Alligator mississippiensis: one gene and its partners. The protein of the gene in region 1 interacts with the protein of each later gene in a pairwise test. Links are inferred from orthologs where the notes say so. Each region holds a gene or a part of one and is shown on either strand. Other genes may lie near its edges.

Region 1 (7,829 bases):
CTAAGTATGCCATGACTAACAGATAAGACTATTAAATCTTATGTATTATAAAAGAATATTTATTTCAACTATAAAATGCTTTAATTTCTTCTTCCCAGCCATCACACATTTTCTGGAACAAGAGATTTGCATGAGCCAGGTTTAATCATCATCCATTTTCAAGAACTTTTCTATTTGTTAATTCAATATCATATTTGTAATACAAAGAGGATACCTTACATTAATTTTAAGAAGTAATAACCTTCTGAAAGGAATACATTTCCAATGCACAAAAAAGATCAAATATACCCAACAAAAATATATTTGTTATGTACCAAACTAACTGTAAATGTGTATATTGTTCATAAACAATGAAGCCCTCAAATACCTGTAATAAGAAGTTTTGTTCACTGAAGGTAATTATTTAACCATTTTCTGCTACAGATAACCTGCACATCACCTTGTTTCATCTGAAAGTATAAACAAGCATTAATTTCACCTCTGCTTGCCCCTCTTTCAGAAGCACGGTTCTCCGTAGTCACCAAGATGAGGCTAACCTCAGTCTCGTTCATTTAGCAGGCACAAAGTTATACCAACAAAGCTAGTCCAGACAGTTTGATTTGTGGTGCCCCACCCTCATTTCCTTGAGCCAGAGTGATGTCACAACATAAGGCAGCGCAATGACTTCACTGCTACAGTTCTCGTTGCTTCTGGGCACACACCCCTTCTTGCCATGACAAAGGCAAAACCTCTACAGCACAGCAGCAAACAGAGGCAAACACTCATGAAACGAGCTCCTAATTTATCCAAGGTTCCAGTAATACTGGCTAACCTTTTAAAACACACCAAAACAAAAAAAATACCATCAGCTGCATCATGAAACAGTACTTTAATGAGGTGGTACCACCATAAGAAATGACTTGAGGGGAGGAGTCATAGTTGACTACATTAGTCTGATTAAAGTAAAATATTATATATTTTAACATTTTCACAGTGCATTTAGGCTGGTGCTTTCTGCAGTTAATTATTCATCACTGCAGTGAACAGAAGCGTAGCAGAACAGAAGCTCAAGGAGCCTTTCTGCTCACACAGAATAAACTTGCAGTTGCTCCTCACTCCAATGCAGTGTTCTCCCTCCCTCCATCAAGTACATCATTACTGAAGTGCGGATTTCAGCCTCACACCAGAGTTGCAAATCCCATCCAAGCAAACTGGTGTGACAGTATTAAAAAAAAAAAAAAAGACCAATGCAGCATGTCTGCCATATTCTGAATTTAACCAATTAAATGACAAGGGAAGATGCAACACAACGATGAGCCTGACTTGTTACATTCCATGTAAAGGTTATCCTCCATATTTGTAGAAGGCAAGCTTATAATTAATTACTTCCATTTGCTCCAGATTTACTAGGCACTTTTTTTTTTTAAACATGTTTTACTTATTGGTCTACTGATTATAAACCAACTATGCAACTTCATATCACAATCAAATAAAAGCCTAAGAACAATAATTTAAGCACGAGAAAAGTATTTTATTTCTAGGATACAAAACTATAAAAGCCTGACAATGTATGAGATGTAGCTACTTGTACAAGCTCACTGATTGCACTGACTTCTGACCTGTAATTCTTCAATTCTTTTCACTCAAGACTACAAGTGAAGGCAGCAGCTTTTCTCCTTACTGCTTGAAAGGGATGCAATACCCAAGTGTGTGCAATCTTCTTCTCAAGTATAAGGAACATTTATGCATCTATTGAAAAAAAAATCCTATTCCGAGCAATGAGTACTTTATTGAAAAAACAGAACAACCCAGAAGTTTATGATGCTGCCAGAATAAAAAAAAAAAAAAAAAAAGCAGCGCTTGAAAACTAGTGCAACTACAAGGTGCTTTCCTGTCTTTAACGATTAGGGAAAGGCAAATTTTCCAGTTTCGTACAAATCTGTTGAAAGAAAAGTTTCAAGTGAAAACGTAAAAGCCCTCGTCACAGCTATGCCTGCTGCCCACCAGAGATGCTGGTCTCAGCTGGAACACAAGACCCAGGTCAAGGGGGCTAGCAAGAGGTTTTATGACAGAGCCACACCCTCATTTTCTTTTGGAGACCTTGGGAAAATCCCCGCAAAGGCCCAGGCCCACTGTTAGCAGCTGACAGAACAGGCAAGGCTCTGACAAGGCCCGCAACCAAGGTAGAACCAAACCCAACTCTCCCTGGCTTCAGAGCAGCACGAAGGTGTGTGCCCTGCCCGCTCACAGGCAGCATCTTAAGAGTGAGCCAGACCCCAGCCCACTAGAGTTCCCCACAGAGCCCCTCTGCCTGGAAGCGACCGACCCTCTCTTCTCCTCCTCAGTGCCCTTCCCCACCCTGCCCGCCTGATTCATGCCATCTGCTCCTCTCCATCTTCCCCACAAGGACTTCTCCTTGCCCTGGCCAAAACCCCGCGCTGCAGCTGAAGGAGAAGTGGGGTGGGGAAAGCAGCAGCCCCTGAGGGGACCTGGGCGCCTGCGAATGGAAGGAGCAGAAGAGGATAGAGCGCTGCCACTGCAGCGGTTCCGAGCCAGGAGTGACTACGTGACCACACCCACCGCATTGCAGAACCCGCGGCCGGGCCGGGCCGGGCCGGGCCGGGGAGCGGGGGGGGGCCAAAACACGCACACCAAGACCCTGGTCCTGCCCCGCTGCACCCCCGCACCAGTGCGTGCACTGAACCCCACCCCTCACACACACAAGCACAGGGAGTGCAGTGCACGCGGGCAGGCACCCCCATACGCGCTGCTGGATCCTGAGGCGAGGTGGGGAGGGGGCACGGGGATGCTACACACACACGCGCCCCCACTTAAAAATGGCTCCTGCTCGCTAGCGATGGATGTGGGAGCCTCCCCCCCCCGGAGGTACCTCGGCGGCGCGGCGCGGCGGCGGCGGCGGCAGCGGGTCCCCGCGTCAGCAGCAGCCCCGCGGAGCTCTGCCCAGGACTAGTCCTCCGCCAGCTCCCAGCAAATCAGGGCTGCGGAGGCTCCTCGGGAGAGGGAGGGGGAGGAGGGGGGAGCCGGATGCGGAGCGCGAGGGACCCGGCGCCGGGGGGGGGCGGACACGCCCGCTCTGCGCACACCCGCCCGGGTCGGGAGGCAGCGGCACTCAAGTGCCCGGATCTCCACCTGTGTCCTCTCCCCGCTGCCAGGCCAACCGCCCGGCTCGTCCGGCACAGAGAGGACAACTTCCCGTGGGCCAAAACGCCAAGAAAATAACCCCCCTCTAGGGAGCCAACATCTGGATCTGCCTCCTCCAGCCTTTCTGCCCCGCTTCTCCGTAGTCTAATGGCTTCTGCCTAGAGATCCTTTCCAAGGGTGCCCTGGGGTGTCACGCTGGGCCAGCAGACCTGGTGGAGATTTCAAAGAGGTGTTAAAAACCTTCTCGACCTGGTGCCATCCAAGCTCTCTGCACCAGCAAAACTGGTCTGATGTCTTTCAGGCGAGCTGGGGGGAAATGTCCTTTGCAAGCTGTGGGGCACAGTCGCCCTTTGTTGGGCATGGGGAGTCTCTGCTGGTCTGAGAGGCCAAGGAATGAGAGAAGCTAAACGTGTAGAGGGATGTCAGTGAGAATGTAAAGAGGGAACATATTTTCCTGGTATTTTTCTGCAGTTGAAAAATCCCGCAAAAAGGAAGAGCCGGCATCTTCTGAGTCTAATGAGGGGTGCCTCAAGCTTGCCTCCAGTCTAAAAAGGTCAAGAACCGCTGATCTAACCAGAGGCCAAGTGTTCCCTAAACTATTCCTCAAGTATTCCATGATCAGGGCCGGATTGACCTGTTGGCAAACAAGGCACATGCCCTAAGGCCTGAAGTGAAGAATGGGCCTAGTTGGGCTTATTTTACATATAATTATTGAGTAAAAAAGTAATATAAATATACTGTATTAAGTAGGGGCCCACAAGTTTGTTCGCCTAAAGTGTTGATCCAGCCCTGTCCATAATACTTTGAACCCCCTGGTGTTCTCCCCCCCAGCTCAACCACATCACAGAAATGCAGATCCAGAATCCTGCCAAATTTGGGCCTAAGCCCACAAGAGACAGAGTAACTTTTACTTCCCTTACTGACCATCCAAATAATCCTAGAACCCAATACAAGGAAGTACAGAAAACCACTTTGGGAACCTGCTGGGTTTTGGCTTCATTCTCCTACTCCTACCTGTTGAGTCTGGTACAAGTGCAGCTTCTTTGAGTACACGAAAATAAACTATCCCATTTGACTTGGTACAATGTAGGTTCTGGGAAACTCTGATATAGATTTTTTTTAATAGGTGCAGAACCAAATAAACTTGTTCTTATTTTAGGTATATTTTACCTAATTCAGTGAAAGGAGGACCTAGATGAATAGTGATCCATGCACTAGATCTGACCAACTACAGTGCTGCCATGGGGATGACGTGCTGCACAAGCAGCTAGACAGCAGATTTCAAGACAGAAGGTCCCAAAAAGAAGGACCCAGTTTTAACTCAAGCTCCCAATTATGGAAATTTTTCTTCTCCGGGACTTGCAAGTGGAGGGGGATTTTGAGTTTTGACAGTTTACAATGACCAGTTTCCCTGAACTGGTAATACAGGCTGCTTCATATTTAATGCAGAATAATCAGGGGTGGCTCCCTGATTACTTAGAATCAATAAGCATCAATAATAATAATGGGAACAGAACTAAGGGAGAAGTGAACTGAAATATTTAAGACTCATCTTACATTTGAAAGCTACTTAAATTTGCCTATGTTAAAATTTTGCAGCTACTCTAGATATACAGAAACTTTTTAAACCTGGTAACTTTTGAAACATCAGTACCTCAAACTATTAAAAACTGTGCATGAGAACCGCCACAAATGAACTGGGCTCACCATCACGGGGTGCGCCTCCACAAGCAGGAATATGCGTTTCCCTGGGGACAATTAGCAGTGGCACTGCTACGTGTCCCTGGGGAATGCCCCTGCGTGCTTGCTCTGGTGCACAGCAAGGTGCCCTTGGTAGGGTAGGGGAGGCTGCCTTGCCTGGGCTCCTGGGGGCCTCTCAGGACTGCAGCAGCGGTGATCCAGGTGCACAGACCATAGCCAGCCAGGCTCTAGTTTTGTGTGGCCCATACTGCTGCCATGTGCACCACCCCACTTCTTTTCAGTGCAGGTTTTTTTGACACTGGGATCTCCCAAGTGTCTGCAGCACTGGGAGACCGCACATGCACTCATGGGGACGCACCCATAGTGTATACCGCCATTGAAGTGGTATTTAAGAACAGTGAATTTACCATCTTCTATCTGAACTCTGAGGGCTTTATGAACACTTATTTAGCCCCATAATTGAACCATGCTAGACATGGAAAATGTTGACAGGAAACATCAAGTGGCTAGCATCTTGAATGACAAATCTGAGAGCTCTGTCTGGGCCTGAGTTTCAAAGTTGTTGAGTATCCACAGCAGTGGCAGCCAGTGAGATCTTCAATTGTTTGACATCCCAGAAGATCAGGTGCACAAAGGCTCAAAATTTTGCATGAAAAAAACCCTCAAAGAACAAAACAAAAGTACAAAAACTATAGTACACTACAGCCACTATGTCACTTGGCCACTTTTGAAAGTGCTGATCTTGATGCCAGTCATAAAAGAAGCCTACGAGACTATGAAAAGTTTTGTTCTTCAAAATCTGAACTGGGCTGGTTGGCCAGCCTGCGCGGTTTCTATTGCAATTATGAACAGAACAGGCACTTGAATCCATTGAATCAGCGGTTACTAAATGAAACAGTTCTGTCAGAACATATTCAGCCAACTCTAATCCATTACACACAGGTGTAGAACATGAATAACTCCATTGTACTTCTTAGTTATAGGAACGTGAAAGGAGAATCAGACCTAAAATCTTTCAGAATACTAAGAAACCCTAGCAACTCCACCTTTAACACAAAGATGTACCTTCTTTCACTACCCCTCCTTTTCCTTCTGGAGACTGGCTTTCAAATGTCAATGTCCGTAGCAAATTAAAATTAGTTAAATGGTTTTATCTTAGTTTCTGTGCACTTCCAAAAAACACTCTACAACCTGGTAAAATGGTCATAATTGTCAATTTCTGCTTAAAATAGAACCGTGAGTTGGCAAGAAAGAAAAACATGTTTCTGAGTTTCTCCCTAATCTTGCAGCTATTTACATATGTGCATAACTTCAAATATGCAAATAAACCTATTAATGGCAAAGCTATGTAGATGCTTGTTTTGAGCATCAGAAACTTAATACCTGAATGTACAGTTTGGCTCAAGCAAATGCTATAACAGAACATTAATAATCACAGTGATACAAAACATTTCCGTTCCATTTTCATGGGAAACAGCTGGGAGTTACTCAACCAACTTTTTTATTCTCTCCCCCCTGCCTCCAAACTCCTGCTGTTGAAAACAGTAAGAACTCCATGTTGCATGCTTTGTGGCTCTCCCTACAACCCCTGGCTAAGCTTGTTAGCATTACCTGCAACTCCACGCATCCCTCTGTTCCTACCACCAGCCCGTTTTATGCCACCTTTGCATCTCCTGTACAACCCTCCCCACCGCCACTGGAGAGACTTCCTGCAACTTCTCCCAATTTGCCCTTTCAGGATATGCATGTGACCCATATCCTCCTTCAGCCACACCAGGCTCTCCTTTTTCCTTCATGCCAGTGGCTCTGCATCTCCTAATCCAAGGTCCGTCAATCACACTCCAATGGCAGGAACTGTTTATGCCTCTATATCAGGCACAGAGATACCATGTGTTCCCCCTCCCCTACAGGACTGCTCTATTCACTCACAATGTCAAGGACTTTGAATGCACCCTCTAATCCCCATTATTTCTATTACAGTCATGTCAACAGTATCCCTTTCCTCTCTCACCCCCATGTATGATGGGTGCTGTCTGCCTCTTCTTCCTATATCCATCAATTTCCCCCTCCAACAGGGGATCCAGGTACACCTATTGTTCCTCCTCATTCTATCCCAGGACCCTTATCCTCTCACATGGCAGGGGCCATGTGCATACCCTCATTCCCCATTCTGGCCCACCATCATCGTTATTTGTTTAAGATGCAAGTAATTTTTCATGTCATTTTTTTTGAGGCGAGCAAGACCTCTATTATCCAGGCATTTGATTCACAAATAATTGCAGAGGTGCTGAAGAAACAGCTTCTTTCTTCCCTCTTTTTGTTACTCCAATTTTCCCTCAAATCAATAGGGTGCAGAGAAGCGCTGCACTGCCTAGAATGTTCTTAACATTTTGGAACTGATTGGATGCAGCATTCAACATTTATCTCATCAGAGAGAGTCAAAGCAGAGAGAAATGCCATCAAGTTGAGTGCAAGGTCTTCTCAAAGTTCAGCCAACAATGAATTAGGTTGGATACAGCATTTTGAAAAATGAGAAGTACTACGAGGGTCGTAGTATTATTAGAGTAGTATCAATATGATACTTTTCAGCAGACACCAGTTGGGCATTACATGTCTAGACAGTTAGATGATTTTAGATTTACACTGATTTTTTATTACTATATCCACTTCAATTTATTAAAAGCAAACTGTTCTGCCCATGACTCATTCCACTTAACCTTCTGCATGGCAATGAAACAAAATTTTAGTAATTAAGAATGATCACTGTGCAGCAATCAAGATAAGACGTTGGAAATTAGACTGCATCTTCCATTTCTTTCTATACAAATATAAAACCTGTACATCTATGTTCAGCCAAGGTTGGGATTTTCATAACAAAAAATGTTTTAAAAAAGAACACAAACTTTTGAGAGAGATGAATTCTGAATATCAAACCATTGTGCTCTCCTTATATGTATGGCTCTGGAATGTAGATACATCTAGCAGGT
Region 2 (7,847 bases), on another chromosome or scaffold:
AATCCAGGAACAGACTTGTCAAAAGGTCATTCATTATAACTTGTGCTCTGGGCTCATTCTGTGCTCTTCAGAGACTCTCAGACCACCATACCGAAGGGTAATAGCCCCATCTGTATGGGTGTATGAAGGGATGGATGAAGCGATTTGCCCAAGGTCAGCCGGCAGGTCAATGGCACAACCAAGACTAAAGCAAGGCACTCTTGTGCCCTAGTCCAGTACTGTATCTATCCAGCAATATTACTTCTAAAGGTACTCACTCAAGAAGCCAGTTTTCCCCTGATCCTTCATAGCAATTAATGCAGCACAGGAAGTACCACACTGCTTCAATTGAGCATAAACTATCCACTATCACTATCCAGCTTCATTGGCATTACCCAAGCACAACAATGGATTTGTGTAGTTAGCAAATTTAAAAACCAAGTTTATCAAGTGCCTACTAGATATTCAGATGTGGAGATGATAACCAAATAAGGAAACATTTTTATTCAGTTTTGTACACTCCACTGCAGTAATAGGCTGCCCAGTAGATGATGTGTTTAGAAAGAGTCCAGCATGCTATGTCCAATAAGAAACCCTAACTGCAATTATTCTATTTAAAAGCTTCCAAGGAAGTATGGGTTGGGTTTGTTGAATTAAGTGACTGAAGGCTGCATCACAAACCCATTAGTCATTAATAACATTTAATCTTATAATTGATTTTCAAAGATGTGACTATGTTCTTGTGTGTTAACTACTGCACTGTACTTGAGTTTGCACTAAAAACAAAAAAACGGTGCCACTGCTTTCTTTATATACAATCTTATAAAGAAAGACATGCAGCAAGTGTGAGAGTGGTGGTATTCATGCTTGATCTAATGATCTGTCAGGAATGATTTGTCATGCATTAGTTGTCAAAAGATATATGAAAGATCTATCATCTAGTTTCTGGGAGAACGTTAATCCCACTGGATAACTACATGGTAACATTTCTGCATCAATTCTGAAATATGCAATCTGCATGCTCTCTGCTACCACCTGGGTGCAATGCAGCTTGTACCACTGCTTCTGACATCACTGCGTTGCTACGGAAATGAGTCCGAGGTCACAAGCCTCCTGCACAACTGGAGATGGGGAGGGGAATGGGTGATTAGATGGGACAATAAATCAGTGCAACATGTCCAGTAAGATAGGACCATGCATAGATCCAAGTAGCATTTTCCAGGTTATGGGAAAAAAAAAAAAAGAGAAAGGAAAAGAAAATGAAATGCTGCTTGTGTGCACGTGTGATGTAGTAAGAGCTCGAACACCTCCAGTATAGTTCAGCTATAGGAAACCGATTCCAATGTACTGGAGATGCAACAGTCCAGATTGCCGTTTCATGATGGCCATTAAAAGTAATCATGACCTTTTATTAAGTCAGCCTTTTCCTTCTAAAAAAGAATACAGAACTGAGGGGGGGAGGGGAAGAAGCATACCAATTATATCTGTGGAGAAACAAATATATTGGAATAAGATTACTTTGCATTTAAGTCTATGTTCTGTTTTAGATAGCAGTAGCTATATATTACCTGAATAAAATATTTAATATTTGCACACATACATTTAAACCAAAGCTCAGGGCTCTACAAAAAAAAAAAAAAATTAAAATAAAAAAAAAAAAATGGAAAATTCAATCCTGCAGTAGAGCAGCTCATGTATTAAAGCCACCGAACCGCTGTCAAGCTCATTTTGTTCCGATTGTTCCACATTTCATTTATGGAGGTACAACTCCCATCCCATTCTCAGGCTGTGACAGTTCTGCCCATATGATAAATGCAAGGTTACTGACAAAATGGTGCAATATAAGCGAATGGAGCTGCATTCAAGAGACTGCGACATTCCTAGATCAGCATTCACTTCTCATCAGCAAGGGAGGACACCCCAGCTTCTCTTAAAGGCTCAGACCTGACCAAGAAGACAAATATAAAAGAACAGTTTTCCCCTTTAAAGCAACCCCTCCCTCCCTCCACCCAGTCTAGCCTCTCTGCAATATGACAAATGCAGAATCTTCTGGAATGACTTGATACTGCCTCCCACGATTGCTTTGTTTGCAAGATCAGATCAGAGAGGCTTTTTTTTTTTTTTTGTTAGATTGTCAAAAAAATGTGTGTCAGTATTAATTAAAAAGACACATTAAGGTGTCACAAACCAGATGGGTCCGCTAAAACGCAGAGCCTTTATTTTAAGAGCGTGAAATGAAGACAACCCTGACTCAGCTCAGAGATCTTGAAACGCAATTAAAAGGAAAAAAAAAAAAAGGAAGGAAATAAGCGTGAGCCATTAAAGACTTAGAAGTCACGGAGGACACCAGTCCGCGCTAGTCGTGGGAATCGGGCACCGAGCGGAGGATGCGGCTAGAGAGAGAGCCGGGCGGCGGGCGAGGAAGGACACGCATCCCTCATGTGGCTCGAGGCAAGTCCCTCCGAGGATCCTCAGCCGCCCTCTGGGGGGTCACTCCAGCCCCCGCGGCGGCGGGCAGGGACCGGGGGCGGCAGGGGACCCCGACACCACGGGGTGATTTTTCTAGATTTTAAGCCCAGGACTGAAGGCAGGCAGGCAAGGAGGGAGGGTGCGGGGAGGGGGCCAGGGCAGCTGGCGGGGAGGGCACCGCCCAGACACGGGGTGGGGGTGGGGTGGGGGGGCGACGGCATCTCCTCAGCTCCGAGGGCATCTCCTCTGCCCCGGGCGGGGGGCCGAGGGGAGGCACGGGCCTCGCCCGCCCGCCCGCCCGGGCCCTTTGTTGCACCCGCGAGGGGGGAGCGAGGGGGAGGCAGGCGCCGGGGCCGGGCCGGGCCGGACTCACGTTCTTCATGGCGGCCGCCATGTCATCGTAGCGCTCGGCTTGCTCGGCCAGCCGGGCCTTCTGCACCAGCTGCTCGCGGTCCACCATCTTCCCGCCGGGCGCGGAGCGGAGGGAGCGGGGCTGGGCTGGGCTGACGGCGGGAGGCGGCGGCGGCTCGGGGCGGGCGAGCGAGCGGGCGACCAAGGCGGCTCCGGCGGCGGCGGCGCCTCTTCCTGCTGCTGCTGCGGCTCCGGCGGCGGCGGCTGCACCCGCTGCTGTGCGCGCCGCGCCCAGGACACCCCCTACGACCCCGCCCCTACACGTCACGCGGCCCCGCCCCCCGCGCGAGGCACGCCGGGACTCGCAGTGCGCGGCGCCGCCCGAGGCGGACTCGCTCTCCCAGAATCCCCCGCGCCCGGGCAGCCCCCACCCCCGCCACGCGCTGGGCGGGGCCGCGCGCTCACACCGGAGCTGCTGGCAGTGGCCCCGGGGCGCCCCGCGACCAGCACGTGGTGCGGGGCCGTGTTCCCGGTGGAGGTTGCAGGTGGTTTTGGCACTCTGCCCCAAAAAACGTTGCTGACCCCTGTCCTAGAGCCATGGGAAATGCGGGTTGGAAGGGACCTCCGGAGGTCACATCTAGTCCAACACCCTGCCCCAGCAGGACCAGCCCCAACTCGATCATCCCAGCCAGGCTTTAAAAAACCACCAAGGATGGAGAATGCACCACCTGTCTGGGGAACCTGTTCCAAGACTTGTGATATTTGGGATCCTTCCTTTAGGCTTCAATTCCTTGGGGCAGGTGATGATGTGAGAATTGGAGCTTGGGTTTAAAAATCATTCGTTTCTGGCCCTCCTCGTTGCAAAGAACAACCTGACCAGAGCACACCTTAAAAAGCCAAACAGCTGCAAGGCAAATAAAAACCACAAAATGTCCTATTTTAAGCTCATGATTTTTAAGAGAAGCTCAGGATTTTTGGAGGCAGGCTCTAAATCTTTGGAACAGGCAGTGCTTGTACTTTGCTATGTTACAGAATAATTTGGAGGTTCAATTAATGTTTTAAAGAGCTTTGAGATACTTGGATGAACAGTACCATATTATAGAAATGAAAAGTAGTATTATGATTTGGCAAGGTGCCCTATATAGCACAAAAAGTTACATGGTGACAATTATAGTATCATATGTATTATTATATTATTAAATGGTGATACTATGTTGCTGAGTCACTGTGTCAGGGTAACTGCAGAGTGGTTTATTTCCCCCACCCAGTAATATTCAACAGTTCAGCTAGGAGGACATGGGGGGCGGGAATAGGGATGGTTCCAATCAATTTGGAAGGGAAAAACATTGTTAGGAATGACACCATACAATCCATGAGTGGCAAGCCAATGAGTGCATTATGTTAATTCATCAATTAAAAAATAAATAAAAAGGCATATTCATTATGTACCAGGGTAATCTTAACTCCACATTATGAATTTCATTGGAAAACTTAAAGAGAGACCTTTTTCCCCAAAAAGCCTGTAGACATAGCAACATGTATAAAACATTCCAGAGATTTATAAAAGGAAGTTTAGAGATTTCATATCAGAGAACAAGTCTGCAATGCACTAGTACTAATGCACATTTCCTCCAAGTACTTATTTTGAACCTGATAGCTTCACCTCCAGAAGTGAAAATTGAGTTGTCTCCATAGCCTGTTCTTTCCTTCACCCCCTTGATGAGACAGCCAATACATTTTTGGAGATGGATAATAAATGTCAGGTATAAACAGATGTGGTTATTAAGCAAGATGGCTGCCATAATACATACTAATAACCAAGTTTGGGGTATAAAAAGAATGTTCCCCTCCTCCAAACTATCTGGGAAGTTGGGGGCTTTCATTACAAAAGATATGGTCTCAATCATGAGGGATGCCATCCCAAATGTGCACCACAGATACCTACCCATCATAATGGTCATCATCACTAGTATACACTCACTAGGACTGAGACCAGCATAAATATGTTGCGATAACCCACTGTCCCTTGGTTTGATAACCATGGATGCAAGTGTGTACCCTAAGTACATTACATTAAATAATAATATATTGCCCTTTACATCCCATTCCACCTGAGGATCTCAAAATGCTGAACACACAGTAATGAATCAAGCCTCCCAACCACCATGTCATCTCCATCTTATGAATGGTTAAGTGACTTGCCAGAAGCCACAAAGCAAGTCTGTGGCAGAGCCAGGGATGGAATGAAGTCACCCTGCCACCTAGTCCTGTGCTGTAACTATGAGATCAGCCCACATTCAATTTCTGTCCCACAGTATCAGGAGAATCAACCTCTCAGCCTCCCCACTACCAACTCTTCCCGCATAGATATTGAGTTATTCACAGCAGCAGAGAATGAGGCATTTTAGCATTCATAGCCTAACAATGGCCATTAGTCCAAGTGCCTCATGTCCCCTCTGTGCTGAGAGGAAGGTTAGCCAGGAGCCTTCTTCATCTCCCAGCTGGGTTTCATACCCTGCTTTTCTTTCTTGGACCCTGGTTTTCTCCACCCTGGTGATGACTTACTGCTCTGATTGCTTTGCTGCCTGTTCCCCATTTTTCCCTTTCCATCCACCCATCTCTTCACTGCCTTCAGGCCCGCATCTCCCATCCCCAGATCCAGCTGCCCAGCCCCAACAGTTGCTCTCAGCTGCCATGGAACTGTCCAGCACCAACATCATTCTGTGCCTCCCCTTCATAGGTTTCATAGATTCATATACATTAGGGCTGGAAGGGACCTCAGAAGATCATCAAGTCCAGCCCCCTGCCCCAGGGACAGGAAGTCAGCTGAGGTCACAGGATCCCAGCAAGGTAAATGTCCAATTGACTCTTAAAGGAGTCGAGAGTAGGTGCTTGCACCACCTCTGGTGGCAATCTGTTCCAGGTCTTGGGGGCTCGGACAGGAAAGAAGTTCTTCCTTGTGTCCAGCCTGAAACGGTCTTGGAGAAGTTTGTGACCGTTTGACCTTGTCATCCCTTGGGGCCCTCTGGTGAACAGGCATTCCCCCGGATCCTGATGTACACCCCTTATATTCTTATAGGCAGCCATCAGGTCCCCCCTGAGTCTGCGCTTTTCCAGGCTGAAAAGTCCCATAGCTCTCAGCCTCTCATCATAAGGCCTGTTTTCCTGACCCCTGATCATGCACGTGGCTCTCCTCTAGACTCTCAAGCTTCTCCACACCCTTCCTGAATTGTGGAGCCCAGAACTGGACACAGTACTCCAGCTGCAGCCTTGCAAAGGCCGAGTACAGTGGGAGAATTACATCCTGGGATTTGCCTGAAGCATCTATGGATGCAAGTCAGAGTCTTGCTCACTTTGCCAGCTGCAACATCACATTGGTGGCTCATGTTCATTTTGTGGTCAATCATGACCCCAAGTCCCTTTCGGCCATGGTGCTAGCAAGTGTAGCACTGCCAAGCCTATAAGCACGCTGCAGGTTTTTCTTCCTAAGGTGTAGTACCTTGCATTTTTTGGTGTTGAAGGCCATCAGGTTTTCGTTCACCCATTTTCTGTGTGTGTCAAGGTTGGTCTGGATCACCATCCTGTCCTTGTGTGTGGACACTTTACCCCTAAGTTTACTCCCTTCCTCATGGGAGTCCCCTACAGCATTCCTCTCCCTGTGTTGTAGCAGCTGAGCAGCAAAGACCACTGCCCCGTGGGGACTGCTGTGTCCATCCTCCATCACATCCAGGCTGCACTACAACCTTGGGCTCCAAACTGGATTTCTCTCTAATTCACCACCAGACTATGACAGGTGGAAAAAACAGCTGTCTGCTAACTCCTCAGATATGCCTGAGGAAGTCAGCTACATTTGCTTCTCATGGTACTCACTTGGTCACTGTTACCTAAAACACACACATCAAGATCTTTGTACTTAAATATAAACCCCTTCATCATCTCAGCCTGAAGTACCCAAGAGGTCATGGCCCAACTTCATAACCTAACCAGGAATTTATGGCCATCTTGGTCAGGTCTGTAATCGGTTTCTAGGTTCAGTCAGGATGAGAACAGGTTTTTCCTATGTCAAGGTTCCTCAGCAGCTATCAGTATTCTTGCTGTTTCCCTGTAAACTCTGTGCATTTAAGCAGTTTAGAGAAATACCTTCTTTTGGTTTTATTTTTCTCCATTCCTTTAACCAGTTGGAACAGGATCCTTTTTCAGCAGAGCTTTGTGTTTTCTTGAATGCTGTCTGGCTGCCTTTTGTGTCTGGCACTGCTTTGCATTTATCCGTTACTGTATGGCTCCTAGATACCTCACACCAAACACCCTTTATGCAAATTACATACATGAATGAGAATTATGTGCAGTGTTATAAGTACCACACCTGGTACAGAATACAAAAATCGTGTTGGCATTCATGGGGTTAATAGCTGAAGTTGTATCCTGTTGTGTCCCTCTAAAATTTGGTGACAAGTTGTTGCCACAACTATTATGGAAGGGAAAAATCAATTTGAAATTCATTGTAGCATATTACAACAGTAATCAACAATAGTATAAGCACTTAAGGACAGTAACTCTTTTGAAAGTGGTGCTTTATAGATAATTATTAATAATATTACAAGGATTTATTCAAGATATTTTTGGTGATAGTTCCCAAGCCCAATAGGAATCAATTATTTTAATAAATGGTTTCTGGAGACTAAAAAGTATATGAGCTCATATCTTTTCCTCATATGATATGCAACAATTTTAGATGTCTGTTCTTTTTCTACTTCCTTTCTTTGTCTGTCTTCATGGTCTGTCACTGTCTAATTTGCAATGTAAATCTTAGGAACCATGGATAAAACCCATTGAACTCAACAGTCAAACTCCCATTGACTTCCACAAAGGAAGGCCTCTTAATCTCTGGATTGCGACATATTTGCTTATGGCTCTATCAAAATGCATATTGATAATAGATAATCTTAAATAGATAATCTCATATTTTACTGAGAAAATCCTGCTCTGTGTGTTGCAGATACACTAGAGGGAAAACCAGCAAGCAGGGACCCTCCTCCTTCTTGCGTTAC
Region 3 (6,927 bases), on another chromosome or scaffold:
TGACATGGAAAATGTTTATTACTGTAAGTGTGCCTTGGGCTGGAAAAGGTTGGGAAACACTGGTCTAATGGCACCAAATATTATGGGTATGTATTTACTTCTTGATGACTTCAAAATATATTTTTTAAAGGGGGCAGACATTTGAAGGTTAAAATATGCAAGAAAAAAATCTAAAAGCACACTATACAGAAAGAGATTCAAATGTAAATAAAGTAAATATACAGGACTGCTAGCAGTAGTTTGGAGGCAAAGCAATTAAAATACTAAAATGACTGGGTAAGCACTGGAACTGTCTTAATACTACTCCTATCTGGAAAGGAGCCTGATCCTCCATTCTTTATGCAGGGAGAACGGCTGGATTAAGTTTAAAATCAGGCCCCAAGTCAATCTGCAGGAAAGCAGATGGGGTTAGCAATTCTTATGAAGGCAGAAAAACTAGTGACCTAAATAGCAAGTTTATACAACTTTTTTCTATTTACCAAACTACTAAAAACACATAACATAGGCTAAACTTTCAATCTTTTTGTTCACATTCATATAATACATATCATAAATCTCTCTCAAGCAAGAGGTTTTCCTCTTTTCAATGCTCAATCTAAACCCTGGATAGCAAGTGGGGGGAAAACATGTTTTTAGACCCTAGGCTAATGTTAGAATACCTCATTTACTCAAGAAAATGAAGTTTTACTTATTTCTCTAAGCCAGCATTACCAATCACATACCTACATGTGCACACAGCCTGAGCTGTTCTATCTCCCCCACTCCACAAAAAGGACACAGTGTTTTGAAAACTACTCATGATTTTTGTTATCCTGTCAGTGGAGGCAGAGATTTGCATTTAACAGATTAAAAACATGCTTCCCTCAAAGTTCCCCAGAGAATCTTTTTTGCTGAGAATAAAGTAACAACTATACATTTCATTCGGGCTTCTATATAGATATTTCAACATATGAAAATTTAGCAAGGTTTCTGAATGGGAATAACTTGGAGATTAGCAGTTTAAAAAGCTAAAGAGGCATGCTTATTCAAGCAGCTTTCAAATTACAAGTAAAGAATAATCCCTATAGCAAAGCTAAACCCTATTAATCCACACTTTTGTATATACTAGTGTGCTAGCCTTACACAATGTCTTTGTATAGTGTGATAAGTGGACTATAATGTTTGTGTTTGATACTAGTTATTGCAGCTGCTACACTTTCATTGGCTGATGGTCTATTTTGCAGCAGTTTACAGTACGAGTAAGCCACTCCATCACAAAAGATATCCCTATGTGTCCCAACAGTAGACTGTGTTTTAGACTAGAACCACCTTGTTGTGAAATAAAATTGCTGTGGCTAAATTCTGTTAAGCCCCCTCACTCACTTCTCCATAGTGAAAACACTAGGATTCTGAACCTAGATGCAGCACCAACATGGCCAGGCTTTGAATAACTTGTGAAACACTAAAAGCAGTAATAGAAACTACTGTTTTTAAAACGGTTAATAGCCTTGCAGCTAATTTAGACTGTGGCTGTAGCCATGGTGATCCAGAAAATAGACAAAAAGCAAGGGATTTCTGATTACATCTTTTACTAGACTAACTGCATAGTTGGGATCTCTCTTTTAAGCCGGTGGACAGATTGTGTCATCTTTAGGAATGTGGCTGATCTTTTGTTTTTCACATAAGTTTAAAGATTTGATATTTTGGTTGCACTGTATAGTACAAGAAGAAAAAAGTGATTTCAGAATAGGAGACACATTGTGATGGCCAGAAAAGAGGAATTCTTCACTCCACTCAGTTCCTTTAATTAACAAAGAATTAGTACAGATGTTGGGAGGCATGTCTAATAGCAAAATGCTAACTAATCTTCACAAAATTCCAGTTGGAAAGGTAGGCAAGTGTTCTTATTCATTTTATAGATAGGAAAACTGAAAGAATGTGGGCTTTAATCTTTAGATTTTCAGGTCCTTAATGCTGCAGTCCCTCAGTATTGGAGAGCCAAGATGTTTACGGGCCTGAGCGATATGAAGCAGCTGTCATACCTGCTTCACTTGACCAGTACGGCCTGTGCAACTACCAAAAACAAAAAAAAAAAGGTATTGTCAGACTGCAGCGAGTTAGACCAGCAGACAACTGAGCAAACTTATATCTGAGGCTACTGAGTTCTACAGAAAACAGCCACCAAGCTGCACACGTTTCCCATTCTTTCCACTCACTCTTAAGTCATTGCTTACAATCCTGGGACCCTGCAAAATTCACAAACAAGAACTGGGGAAGCTCAGGCTGCAAGGCACCAGGAGCACCGAGCGAGCCTGCCTCTCCAGGAGCCACAACATCCTGACCAGGGCTCCCCCAGTCCCTTAAAGCACCATTTTTCAACCCATGGGTTGTGACCCAAAAGTGGGTCACAAGAATATAGAAAAAGGGTCAGGAACAAACTTTAAAAAAGGATTCTCCTTCAAAGGAGAAAAACGTGGGAAACCATGGCTTTCCCCTCGCAGGCTGGCAGAGCTCCAGCCTGCGAGGAGTTGCTCTGCCTCTGCTCCACACACTGGGGGGGGGCTGGAGCCTGGGGGCAACGGGTCAGGACTGGCCACCGATGTTTACAAATGGGCCCTGACACAGAAAAGGATGAGAAGCGCTGCCTTAAGGGAGCTTCGCGGGGCCCCCACGAACACGCTCGCGGGCGGCATGAGCCCGAGGAAGGGGCGGGCGCCGGCCCATAGTCAGGGCGCCCACGACCAGACAACCAAGTGACCGACCCCGGAAGGGCCCCGCCCCGCCCCGGGGAGGCGCGAAGCGGCGACCCGAGCCCGGGGAACCCCAGCGGGGAGCGCCCCCTGGCCCCGCCGGGCGCTGCGAGAAGGGGGAGGGTGCGCAGCCAGCGAGACTTGCCCGGCCCGGCCCCGCACAGACCTGCCCCGCCAACTCGGCCAGGGAGCGCAGGGCACCGCTCAACGCCTCCCCAGCCGTCGGGCCGGCGCCAACCTCCGAGTCGCAGGCATAGGCAGGACAGTCACTGAGCTCCACCACGGCCGCCATAACAGCAGGCTAAGGCCAGGGCCGGGCCCCGCCTCCCGCTGCCGGCGCGCGGCGATGACGGGTCACGCGAGCCCGGACCGCCACCCCGCCCACCAGCCTGACGGGCAGGCTCCGCAGCCAATCCGTGGTTCCCGCCGCTGCGAGGCGGGTCTTGCGGCTCCGGGAGCGTCTCCGCTTTGGCGTTCGCAGCGCTGACCCCGAAAGGGTTAAAAACTGCTGAGGCTGGTCCTCCCCTTGCCTCGCCGGGGCTGCGGCGCGAGAGCGGCAGTGACAGGAGGCTGTGGCCTGGCGAGGGCCCTGCCCTATCCTGTCCCGCCCCCACCCAGCGGAGCTGCAGCGCCTTGGGCGCCCGCCGGGGAGCATGGGGCTTGCCGTGCCCCGAGGCCCTGAGAGGGGCCCGCCTCTTGCTTGTTCCTGTGGCAGCGCCCCCGCGAGGGTAGCTCTTCCCGGCCCTGGCCTCTGTATCATGAGGCCCCCACAGCCCCTTCCCCACCCCCCCACCTCCAACGGTGCTAACACAAATCATCCGCTCTCATTAGCCCGCAGGTGACCCGGGTCGGTCGGTCGTGGTCTCCACAGCATGGCTCTTGCAGGCTTTCGTGTTCTCTGCTGATGCCAAGGGGTGGGCAAGGGCCCCCTGGGGGCAGCCAGTCTTCCCCCTTGGTGCCTGGCCTTTTGGCACCCCAAAGGCCTGGTATAGATATAAGTGTTTGAAAACCGGCCAGTACCTGTAACAGAACAGTTCAGCATGCACAGACTGATTTAAAAATGGCAGAACCCAGTGTAGGATTTGCGCATCACCCCCACGGGCAATTGTGTGTGCTGTTCACTGCCGATCTCTAGAATCGTAGAAAACGAGGGTTGGACTAGGTGACCAAGAGGTCATCTAACCACCCCCCTGCTCAAAGCAGGACCGTCCCTAACTAGATCATCCCGGCCAAGGCTTTGTCTAGCCAGGTATTGAAAACCTCCAAGGATGGAGGTTCCACCACCTCTCTGGGTAACTTGTTCCAGCATTTTACTACCCTCCTGGTGAGAAAATTCTTCCTAATGTCCAACCTAAACTTCCCTTGCTGCAACTTGAGACCATTGCTCCTTGTTCTGTCATCTGCCACCACCCTCTTTCTAACCCCCCTTCAGGTAGTTGAAGGCTGCTATTTAATCACCTTTCAGTCTTCTCTTCTCCCTCAGCCTCTCCTCAAAAGTCATGAGACTTACAGAAAATTGCACAACAGATTGAATCTGCCTTGAGCTTTTTGTATGTAGCCGAATTGCTGGCTTTCCTGTGCAATGGCTTGTTCTCCATGGTCTTTATGTGCCTCTGGATTTGAGAGTCATTCTGTCATGGTAGGATCTGCCTGGTGCCTTGGGTCCACCTAGGCTGTACTGTAGAGCAGTGTGACTCCTGTCCCTGTCTCCACCCTAGCCCTGCCACTTGTAAGAACACAGCAACTTGAGTTCAAGAACCTTGTTATTTTGACATGCTGGGTAAATAAATAGGCTTACACCATAAGGACAAGGGCTCGTTCTATTACAGCCTCATTTTCATTCCCTGTTGCATCCAGGATGTCTCTGGGGGATTTTATCCAGAGAAGTGCAAGAGAAGCCAAAGCAAGTTCTTCAAGCCATACACTGGTTTCTTGGGATGTTATCAATCAGGCAGTATTAACAAGAACAACCCCATACAGCAGAGAATAAACAAACATACTCACTACCAGTGGCAAGGTCTCAGGACCCTCAGAATTTGTCCTCAGGGTTTGACACACATTTCAGACTTCCACCCCTCAGCCTTTGTGTGTGGTGGGGTTATACAGTTTAGGTTCAGATTTGTGTATTCCTGCCCATTCCTATGAAATAAGGATCTCTTGGCTAATTCACTAGGGAGCAGGGAAACTGAGTCATGGTCTATGACCATTGTTTTTTCCTAGGGTCCCCTTATTAGCATTGGGTGTGATCAACGGCCTATGAATCTCAACTCCCTTGAAAATCCCTCACAACCCACTTCTCTCGCATGCCAAACGTGATTCAGACTGAACTGCTTCTAGAATCAGAGTATCTGGGTCTGAAGGGGCCTTGTGGAAGATGTGTAACCTGGGTGGCTATCATCTTGTCCCCATCCGCATTTGCTGCTGATGAAATGGCTTCTGTAGTTCTCACCACCAAAGGTTAGCAACATGTAGATCTGCCCTGTGGAGACTTGTGTCTAGACTGCATAGTTGAGGTGGAAGGGGTCTTTGCCCACACCACAGTTGGGTGATGGGGGTTGCCCACACTGTATTACAACTGTACAGCAGGAAGAAGTGGCAACACTGGGGCTTTGCTTGCACTGCATTTAGCAGCAAGGGCCATGTTGGAAGCACTGGCCTACCTCCAACCCAACCTTGTCAACCATGGCTTTCAATGACCTGAGTTACTGGGCATCAGGTAACCTGGGTTCATAGGGTTGTAGGACTGGACTGGATAAGACCTTGTGAAGTCATCTAATCCAGACCCCTGCTCAAGGCAGGATCATGCCTGACTAAACCATCCCAGCCAAGTGTCTCTCCAGCCTACTTTTGAAAATTGCCACTGATGGAGATTCCAGAACTACTCTATTTAGCAAAAAATTCCTTCTAATATCCAATCTAAAATTCCTCTGCTGCTCTTGAGGTCATTGTTCCTAGCCCTGTCCCTTATGGCCACAGAGAATAGTCTGTCTCCATCCACCCTGTAACTGGCCTTCAGGCTGTTAACAACCCACCCCTCTGTCTTCTCTTCTCCAGATTAAATAACCATAGATCTTTCAGCCTTTCTTCATGTCATGCTTTCTAAGCCCCTAATAATTTTTGTTGCCCTCTACTGGACTCTTTCCAATCTGTTCACAACTTTCTTAAAAGTGTGGGTTCCCAAACTGGACATGGTACATGAGGTGCAGCCTTACCAAAGCCAAATAGAATGGAAGAATCACTTCCCTAATGAAAGCCCTTACACAGGTTTCCTAGGTAACATTGTTGAGAGTCTTGAAGCTTCAGAGTTTGCCTTTGCTGCAAGAATAGCTGTGTTTTTACTCCAGGATAACTAATACAATGAAGACAGATTTTCCAAGAAATGAACTCACAGAGATGGTGGCGTAGGGTTGACCTAGGTGAGTTTACCTCACAGTACAAGTGCTTTTTTTCATTGTGTTCTTCCATTGGGATATTTCATGCATGTTTTTACCCAGAGGTAAAAAGATACATTTTAGTAGTGAAGATGAGGCTTCAGTTTCATTATATGCAACATGAGGATACCACTGATGCCTGTTAAAAGCAGTATGTCAGTGGCCTGGTGCTACTTGCTTCTAGCTGACTGGTGTTGTTTAAGGGAATGTCAGGGGAAATGTTGCTAGTAAGGAGTTGCTGCTCTTACCAGGTGTTGCTGAAAATGAGCATTGCCTGTGATAATCTTTTTCTACCTCACAAGGAAATTGTAAAGCTAATAAAAAAAAATTGTAAACCAGCTTGAGATGTTTTAATAAAGGTAGTAGGAAACCAAATTAAATGAGTTTTAGTACTGTCTTTACTGTCTATTACTGATATTAATGCAAGTATTTCTAAAGCTTCTCTCACTGGACAAACCTTTACATGGCTTAACTTAGTGTAAACACTTCTGAGGAAATAGGCTGTACTTAATGTTTCCCTGTGCAAATAAGCAAAATACCCAAAGCAACTGAAATGAATAAACACTGGCCATCTTCACAGAAAAAAAAATACAGGGAGCTTATAATGCCCACCATTTGCAAACAGAACAAAAAGCTGTGTTTTTCATGAAGGTCTGAAATGGGCTATACTTGGGATCACTTGGATTTCTAAGAGGCAGGGCAAACTTTTGGGAGATGAAAAGCCTGTTTTTATAGGTCTTCCTGATCTGTGAGCTATAAGTGCAAAG

The links.
Region 2: the proteins of EPB41L3 (region 1) and YWHAG interact in binary tests that used the Homo sapiens proteins (3 or more experiments, as listed by UniProt). The link is inferred for Alligator mississippiensis from reciprocal best matches to the Homo sapiens genes EPB41L3 and YWHAG.
Region 3: the proteins of EPB41L3 (region 1) and MBIP interact in a two-hybrid assay, tested with the Homo sapiens proteins (2 studies listed by BioGRID). The two-hybrid records come from large-scale screens. The link is inferred for Alligator mississippiensis from reciprocal best matches to the Homo sapiens genes EPB41L3 and MBIP.

Annotation. Positions count from the first base shown.
Region 1 is NC_081826.1:92,350,569-92,358,397, forward strand, and holds the start of EPB41L3 (band 4.1-like protein 3), read right to left. Parts: upstream 3,035-7,829; 5' UTR 2,870-3,034; intron 1-2,869. UniProt on the Homo sapiens protein: Tumor suppressor that inhibits cell proliferation and promotes apoptosis. Modulates the activity of protein arginine N-methyltransferases, including PRMT3 and PRMT5.
Region 2 is NC_081837.1:16,884,243-16,892,089, reverse strand, and holds the start of YWHAG (14-3-3 protein gamma), read right to left. Parts: upstream 3,082-7,847; 5' UTR 2,909-3,081; coding exon 2,822-2,908; intron 1-2,821. UniProt on the Homo sapiens protein: Adapter protein implicated in the regulation of a large spectrum of both general and specialized signaling pathways. Binds to a large number of partners, usually by recognition of a phosphoserine or phosphothreonine motif.
Region 3 is NC_081825.1:257,639,638-257,646,564, forward strand, and holds the start of MBIP (MAP3K12-binding inhibitory protein 1), read right to left. Parts: upstream 3,064-6,927; 5' UTR 3,022-3,063; coding exon 2,896-3,021; intron 1-2,895. UniProt on the Homo sapiens protein: Inhibits the MAP3K12 activity to induce the activation of the JNK/SAPK pathway. Component of the ATAC complex, a complex with histone acetyltransferase activity on histones H3 and H4.